Linked DNA regions of Macaca fascicularis. The protein of the gene in region 1 interacts with the protein of each later gene in a pairwise test. Links are inferred from orthologs where the notes say so. Each region holds a gene or a part of one and is shown in the gene's direction. Other genes may lie near its edges. The genes, in order: MPPED2 and CAGE1.

Region 1 (4,580 bases):
AAAACCAAGCATTCCTTCAAAAACGTGATTCTAGTCAGTGTTCGCTGATGGACTAGAAAACAAAAGAAAACAAAATGTAAGGGTGCCCCTATACCCCCATCTTTGGCATCCTTTAATATCAATGTCACTTGTTCTGATTTGTGCTGGGCAAGGAAAGACACTGTCCTTTCCACCCGGGCACGTTTGACAAGTACTGACACTCTGGGCATGCTGTACAATAAAATAAATACATTAGTAAGACCATTTCCCTTTTCATTTCATCCTAGGCATAAGAGATGGGTTACTTAAAATTCAAGTGCCAGGAAAGCCCATTGTAAAGGAAATATTTTCAAGTGAATTCCGTTTGATCTTTTTTTTATAGGGGCTCCTACAAGCCTCTCTCCCTTCCTCCCCAGACCCTGGAAACCAATTAGTCTCAGCACAGAGGCCACAGACCAGGTTGCAATGGCTCCTTTTTATTTTTAGGGGATATAATTTCAGCTAGGATGTCTAGTCGATTGTCACATAGTATACTTTGCACACTTCTCTCTCTCACACATATACATTGGATTTCCCTTCGGAGAATGCTCAGCTCTTTCAGTCTGACTCCTAGAAAGGAATTAGATCTGGTTGCTGTCCCAATCTTTCAGCAATGACAATGGCATAACATCACAGGGCCACCTCATCTTTCACAGACAACCCTGCCAACCAAGTTTTCTGAAAGCCCTCTCTCCCTTGTTTTCTGTCTTCCAGCATTTCAGCGGTATTTCCTTTCCTTGTGGTGTTTGTATACAATTCCGAAAACCTTTTCTTCCATTTTCCAAAGTAGCAGACAAAACTGGACTAACTTTGATTTTTAAAAGGCTTTTGACGTGCTTATCTTTTGGGGAAAATTTGATCCAAAAGACGAAAATGGAAACAATTAGAGTCTTTGCCTCTCCTCACCTTCCTGTCCTGAACCTGCCTTAATTCTTGGAGGTGAAAAAAATGATCAGCTGGGTTGGCCTTTTCTTTCTCAGCAACATTGCAGAGAGAAAGAGGTGAGTGTGTGAGTGTGTGTGTGTGTGTCTGGCGTGTTGAAAGGCTTGGGGGAAAAGGAGCACAGCTCTCCCCCAGGAAAGCCTCAGATCAGCAGATGGGAGGGAACCTAAGGTCGCCTTCCTAGGTCTGAGTGAAGTGTCCCAGCCGCTCCCCTTACCCCCACGGTGAGCCCTGCGTCCTGGAACGGTGCCAGGACTCCTGACAGAGCCTGGCAGGTCGGTGGGTGGGGGGAGCTGGGTGTTCTCTTTGCAGAAGAACACCATTTGGGAGAAAGATCCCTTATTTTCCTGGGGCACCGTAGCCTGCCTTCCTTCCCCTATCATTTTTTACGCAGATCACACTCATGATGATGAACTTGCAGCTCAGCTTCCTGCCGCCTGCTTGACCCGGGAGCACCAGCAGGCTGCCGGGCCTCGCCCTCGGCTCCCTCCTCCTCTCGAAACCCTGGGGCTTCGGGGCACCGGTGGGGGTCCGAGTGGGCAGGGACTGCAGGAGAGGCGTGCAGGGGCGCGGGGTCCCGCCGGGGAGCGCGCACGGAGCGGCGCCTCAGCCGCCCTGCTTCCTGGAGCTGTGCTCCTTTGACCCCAGTGGCAGTCCCTGTCACTGCACCGCTCGCGCTCCCTCCGGCTCGCCGCGCCCTCGCTCCCTCTCCTCGCCCCCTCGCTCGCTCTCTCCCCAGATCGAGGCTGCTCGGGTCCTTTCTCCCCCCGCCTCCCTCTAGCGCCGCGCCCCCTGGCCCCCAGCCCCAGCCTGCGGCGGGACCTCCGGGGTCGAAGGTTCTGGCCCGCCCGCGCCCCTCGCCGCCCCCGCGCGCCCCCAGCGCTCCTCCAGCCAGCTCGGGCCGCTCAGCTATGGATTGCCTGCTCGCCGGGCGCTGAAGGCATCCCCGGGACCCGGAGCGCAGCCCGGGAAAGGTAATCCGCCCCGGGAAGGGAGGCGGAGGGCGGGGGAGGGGGAGGAGGCGGCCGGGAGCCTGGTGCCGAGCGCGAGAGGAAGGGAAAAAAATGCACACACAAAGCGGAGCCCGGGTGAGAGGTGCCTTGTCAGAGGCGCGTGCGAGGGGATCGGAGGCTGCGGACCCGGGCTGCCCCGGTGCCCCTGACATCCGCACGAGCGGGCGCCTCCCGGGCAATTCGGCGCCCGGGGAGGGCTGATTTTCAACCCCTGAGCGAAAGCAAATTCTTTTTTAGGAGCTGTCTTCCCTCCCACTCCCCATCCTGCGCCTCTTCTCTTCTCCCCCACCCCCTCCAGCCATCAGCCCCCCGACCTCTGGGGGTCCCCACCTCTTTGCCCCCTCCTCCGCCGGGATTTCTGAGGAGGAAAGGAGGGGGTATCGGCGAGAAGCTGCGGCGAAAGCCGGGCGACGGAGATGGGGGTGGGGACGAGGGCTCAGCGAGCTGTTTACTAGAAAGTCCCGGGGTGATGTGTTCGAGCCGCCCCGGCCTAGGCCCGGGTGCATTGTGTTGGCCCGATCCTTGGTCTCCCGCGGCGGCCCGAGGCCAGGTGCAGTGACTAGGGGAAGGCGCCGCGCAGCTTTGTGCTCGGGCTGCACCCCGCGGCCGCCCCTGGGGCCGCCCGCGCGCGCCGCTCTCGCTTGGGGCTCTTTCTCACCCAGTCCCCGCGCCCCAACCTCACTCTCCGCCGCTGCCTGGGTCTCCGCGCTCGCAGCCTGCGGAGCGACCCGGCGACTCGAGCTGGGGTCGGGGCTAGGCGACGGGGGACGAGTAGCCAGGAAAAGTAACCGTTGCCGCCGGATTTCTTCTCTACAGAGGCAAGAGTTTCCTTGCTATTTACGTGTAACAAGGTTATCTTTGTAAAGCCTTTGAATTACGGGGTTTTGCGGCCTAGGAGGTGAAGGGGGCATTTTTCTAGAGGCTCAGGAGCGGGTTGGAATCCGTCAGCAAGAAAATAAATTAAGGATGCCCCAGTGGAGTTGATTTATAATAGTACATCACTACCCCCCTCTCACACACACACCCCAAATTAAGTGCAAATGCGAGTCGTGAAAAATGTATAATTGATTTGAGATGTTGCAAACAAACACAAACAGGTCGGGGGGGGGGGGAACAAGCAAAAGTTTAAGTGAAAAAAGATTTCAAAAGAGGGGGAGATCCCATGGCCTCCACACCCCCTTCCAACGCTCTCTGGCTCCCTCCCTTCCTTTCTCAGCCGTTCCGGGGAAGGAACCTGGCAGCGCCCAGGCGCAGAGCAGGGAGGAGGCGGCGGCCCCGGGCTCGGGCTCCGCGCTGTGGGTTCGGGGATGCCAACGCGCCCGGGAGGCTGACGTCGGGGACGTGGGGCTGTGATGCCCGACCGAGGATGGCGTGGTGTCAGAGCCATTGGCCGCCGGTGGTCATCAATCAACCCAGAGCTAGGGAAGAGGGAGAGAAAAAAGATAGGCGTCCAGCGGAGCCCGGGGCCGCGAGCGCTAGCGCCAGCAGTGCCAGCAGGAGCGGCGGCCGCGGAGGCAACGGAGGTGGCAACGGGGGACTGAGCGAGTAAGGCGCTGGTGCTCCAGGAAGGAAGGGGAAGTTGTAGCCGGGAAGAGCCAGCCGTGAGCCTAGAAGGGCAGGGCGAGTGTGTGTGTGTGTGTGTGTGTGTGTGTGTGTGTGTGTGTGTGTATGTGTGTGTGTGTGTGTGTGTGTGTGTGTGTGTGCTGATAAAGCCTCCCCCCCCACCCCGCTCCGCGCAACTGCCCACCACCCTAGATTTAAAACAAACAAACCAATCCAAAGTAGAGAATTCCGCGCCCCCCACCGCCCCACCTTATATAGACTCCACGAGTTGCCAGAGGCTCCGTAGAAAAGTCTTGCCCTCCCTCTCCGAAAGAATGTGTCACCCGGGTGTCCGCAGTGCTGGAGACAAGTTCAGGTGTAAGTGCGGTGGGAGGGAGGGCGCTCGGTGGACAGAAGCACGTGGAACTTTATGTCAGCATCCCCCAAAAAAACCCTGGCGGAGAAGCCCGCCGGGAAGGCGTGTGGGCATCGCTCCCAGATACAGGGATGAGTAACTGGAAGTGGGCATAAAAGAGTAGGGGCGTGAGTTAAGAACGCACTGGATCGGCGCGGCAGAGGGAGGAGAGAGCGAAATTTGGCGGATTTGGAGCAGGCAAGTTCCAAAGTCCCGCCAGGCTCGGTCGGGAGATTTTGGGGCAAGTGATTAAAATGAGCATTCCTGTTGAAACGAGAAAACCGCGGGCTCTTTTCTCATAGGCTGTGCTGGGCAGTGCAGGGGTAGAGAGGTCATGAGTTGTTGCTTTGAAAGTTTTGGTAAATTGGACTTCTGGTGTCTAGGAGGTGGAGACAGTTATTTAATTCCTCAGCTTTTAATCCCTTTATTGCCAGGCGACTTTAAAAGGTTTTCCAACTAGATTCCTGGAAAAGAATATTGCTAGTTGTACAGCTTAAAGGACAGAAGCGATTGCTGTCTAGGAAATGCAAAATGTACTCACATGATTTTCTTTTTAAAGAGAAAAATCAAACTAGCACCAGCATGAATGCTTGGCAGTGTCAGTCCCTTTTAGATTTTTCTTTTGGCTTCTTGATATTTCGTCCTGGGTT
Region 2 (3,806 bases), on another chromosome or scaffold:
GGTACCTACTGGGACCTGAAGGAAGCCCTGAGTACAGGAAGATCAGAGTTGGAGGAAGGAGGAGGGGTATAGCAGATGAAGACAGGTGGTACGGGCCAGCTACTGCTTTAGTTCATTTCATACGGCTGCAACTATATCACAGACTGGGCAATTTATAATGAATAGAAATGTATCTGGCTCACGGTTCTGGAGGCTAGGTCCATGGTGCCAACATCACACAAGGGTCTCTGTGCTGTCATTTCATGATGGGAGGTGGAGGGGCAAAAGAGGGTGAGATCAAGGGAGCAAGTGGAGGCTGAACTCACTTTTATTTATTTATTTATTTATTTATTTATTTATTTTGAGATGGATTCTCGCTCTGTCACCCAGGGTGCAGTGCAGTGGCACCATCTTGGCTCACTGCCACCTCCGCCTCCTGGGTTCAAGCGATTCTCCTGCTTCACCCTTCTGAATAGCTGGGATTGCAGGCATGTGCCACCACGCCCAGCTAATTTTTTGTATTTTTAGTAGAGATGGCATTTCACAGTGTTAGCCAGGATGGTCTCAATCTCCTGACTTTGTGATCCACCCGCCTCGGCCTCCCAAAGTGCTGAGATTACAGGTGTGAGCCACCGCACAGCCCCCAACTCACTTTTGTAACAAATCCACTTGTGATAACTAACACACTCCTGCGATAACAACATTTAGTCATTTTTATTCACCTCTTACTAGGCCCCATCTTCCAACACTGTTGCATTGGGGATTAAGCTTCTGGCACATGAACTTTAGGGAATGCATTTAAACCATAGTAGATATCAAGAGCAAGATATTAGGGCCTTGTAGGTCTCAGTAATGATAGTTATCTTTATCCCAGAACAATGAAAAACCATTAAGATGCAAGGTTCTGCAGAAGGATGAGCTCAAAAAACAAAATACAGAAGTCCTTGTCTCTAAATTCCAGAGAATTATACAGCGCACCACTCCCTTTTACTGGGTTTTTATTTATTTATTTTTTACATACGAGGTCTTGCTCTGTTACTCAGATTGGAGAGCAGTGTGACCATGGCCCACAAGAAATCCTCCTGCCTCAGCTTCTGAAGGAGCTAGGACTACAGGCACGTGCCCCCACACCTGACTGATTTTTAAAATATTTTTTTGGAGAGATAGGGTCTCACTATGTTACCCAGGCTGGTCTCGAACTCCTGATCTCAAGGAATCCTCTCACCTTGGGCTCCCAAAGTGTTAGGATTACAGGTATGAGCCACTGTGCCTGGCCTGGGGTTTGCTTTTTGTTTGTTTGTTGTTTTTTGAGATGGAGTCTCGCTCTGTTGCCCAGGCTGGAGTGCAGTGGCATGATCTCGGCTCACAGCAGCCTCTGCCTCCAGGGTTCAAGCAATTCTCCTGCCTCAGCCTCCTGAGTAGCTGGCACTACAGGTGTGCACCGCCACAGCCGGCTAATTTTTGTATTTTTAGTAGAGATGGTGTTTCACCATGTTGGCCAGGATGGTCTTGATCTCCTGACCTCATGATCTGCCCACCTCAACCTCCCAAAGTGCTGGGATTACAAGCATGAGCCACTGCACCTGGCCCTGGGTTTTTAATGTCATATTCATTTCACCATTTCTTACCACAATGTACTGTCTTTTTTATTTTTGTTTATTTTATTATTACTATTTTTTGAGACAGAGTCTCGCTCTGTCGCCCGGGCTAGAGTGCAGTGGTGCAATCTCAGCTCACTGCAACTTCCGCCTCCTATGTTCAAGTGATTCTTCTGCCTCACTCAGCTTCCTGAGTAGCTGGGATTACAGGCATGTGCCACCACGCTTGGCTAATTTTTGTATTTTGGGCAGAGATGGGTTTTACCACGTTGGCCAGGCTGGTCTCAAACTCCTGACCACAAGTGATCTACCCACCTCGGCCTCCCAAAGTGCTGGGATTACAGGCATGAGCTACCTTGCCCGGCCTACTGTCCTTTTGTAACCTCCCCAAAACCTGTACTGTCAGCATAAAGTCAATCATGAGGCATGTTCTTCTGCCATTCTAATGTTCCTAAGAGTCACAGAATAATTAGAAAACAGTCTAAATGTGGAAAAAAAATATTCAAAAGAGAAGAGACCTTCCCTAAAAATCCAAACTTTTGGCCCAATAATAAAATGTAAAAAAAAAAAAAAAAGAGAGAGAGAACTTGCAGTCTATAAGGTAATTGATAGATTTATTTGTCTGAATTCATTTGAAGTCAAAGCATCTTATATGTGTGCAGGGAAGTTTGCATAATAGAAAATGGTAAGAGGACAAAAGTTTAATTTTCCTTTTGTCAAAGTAAATGGGATATATATCTGTCATATACCTACTGCCTGTGCTCTGCTGTGCTGTTAGGTGCTGTACAAACATTTAGCAATTAATACATAGGTATTAACTTTTGTTAATAGGCATTATTACTGGAAGTAGGTACTATCGTTACTTTATAGTGGAGGAAACCAAACAGGGGATCTACTAACAGAATTCAAGGCCAGCCCTATCTGACTTGAAAGTTCATGATCTTTCTACGCATTCACATTTACTTTGTTTATTATAATTTACAGACTGCAGTTCCTTCGAAAGAAATGCAGAATCATGGGGAGATTCCTGAGATGTCAGTCAGTTATGCAAAGGAAGTCACAGCAGAGGGTGTGGAGAGGCCAGAAATTGTCTCAACTTGGTCTTCGGCAGGCATCTCCTGGAGGAGTAAAGCATCTCAGGAGAACTGTGAGATGCCTGACATGGAGCAAAGTGCTGAAAGCTTACAACCTGTTCAAGAGGACATGGCTTTAAATGAAATCTTGAAGAAATTAAAACATACTAACAGAAAGCAGGAGGCGCGAATCCAAGAACTCCAGTGTAGTAACCTGTATTTAGAGAAGAGAGTTAAAGAACTACAGATGAAGACTACCAAACAGCAAGTGTTCATTGATGTCATCGATAAGCTAAAGGAGAATGTTGAAGAATTAATTGAAGAAAAATACAAAATAATCCTAGAGAAAAATGATGCTAAAAAGACACTGCAGAATTTGCAAGAGATTTTAGCTAACACCCAAAAACATCTTCAGGAATCCAGGAATGACAAGGAAATGTTACAGCTTCAATTTAAGAAGATCAAGGCTAATTATGTGCGTTTACAGGAAAGGTACATGACTGAAATGCAACAAAAAAATAAATCTGTAAGTCAGTATTTAGAGATGGACAAAACCTTAAGCAAGAAAGAGGAAGAGGTAAAGAGACTACAACAACTCAGAAAAGAGCAGGAAAAGGTCACAGCTTCTGCTCTGGACTTGTTGAAACGGGAAAAAGAGACCCAAGAGCAAGAGTTCTTGTCTTTACAGGAGGAATTCCAGAAACGTGACAAGGCAAACCTGGAAGAAAGACAGAAACTGAAATCTCGACTTGAGAAATTGCTCACTCAGGTTAAAAATTTGCAATTTATGTCTGAAAATGAAAGAGCTAAGAATATAAAACTTCAGCAGCAAATCAACGAAGTAAAAAATGAGAATAAAAAACTAAAACAGCACGTTGCAAGGAGTGAAGAGCAAAATTATGTCCCTAAATCTGAGACAGCTCAGTTAAAGGAGCAATTAGAGGAAGTCATGAAGTCAGATATTACCAAGGTATTGATACACATTCTAAATCTCTAATGCGGATTTTCAAGAGTTTCTAGTGGTCTGGTGATGCATATTTAGATGTGGCACTTATATTTGTTTGCAGAAATAATTATTAAGGAAAGAAACAGATCTCGGCACTTTGGGAGGCTGAAGCAGGAGGATCTCTTGAGGCTTGGAGTTTGACACCAGCTT

The links.
Region 2: the proteins of MPPED2 (region 1) and CAGE1 interact in binary tests that used the Homo sapiens proteins (3 or more experiments, as listed by UniProt). The two-hybrid records come from large-scale screens. The link is inferred for Macaca fascicularis from reciprocal best matches to the Homo sapiens genes MPPED2 and CAGE1.

What each region holds. Positions count from the first base shown.
Region 1 is NC_088388.1:34,963,777-34,968,356, forward strand, and holds the start of MPPED2 (metallophosphoesterase MPPED2), read left to right. Parts: upstream 1-1,592; 5' UTR 1,593-1,934; intron 1,935-1,983; exon of another isoform or gene 1,984-2,048; intron 2,049-3,022; exon of another isoform or gene 3,023-4,128; intron 4,129-4,580. UniProt on the Homo sapiens protein: Displays low metallophosphoesterase activity (in vitro). May play a role in the development of the nervous system.
Region 2 is NC_088378.1:165,630,957-165,634,762, forward strand, and holds part of CAGE1 (cancer-associated gene 1 protein homolog), read left to right. Parts: intron 1-2,561; coding exon 2,562-3,620; intron 3,621-3,806.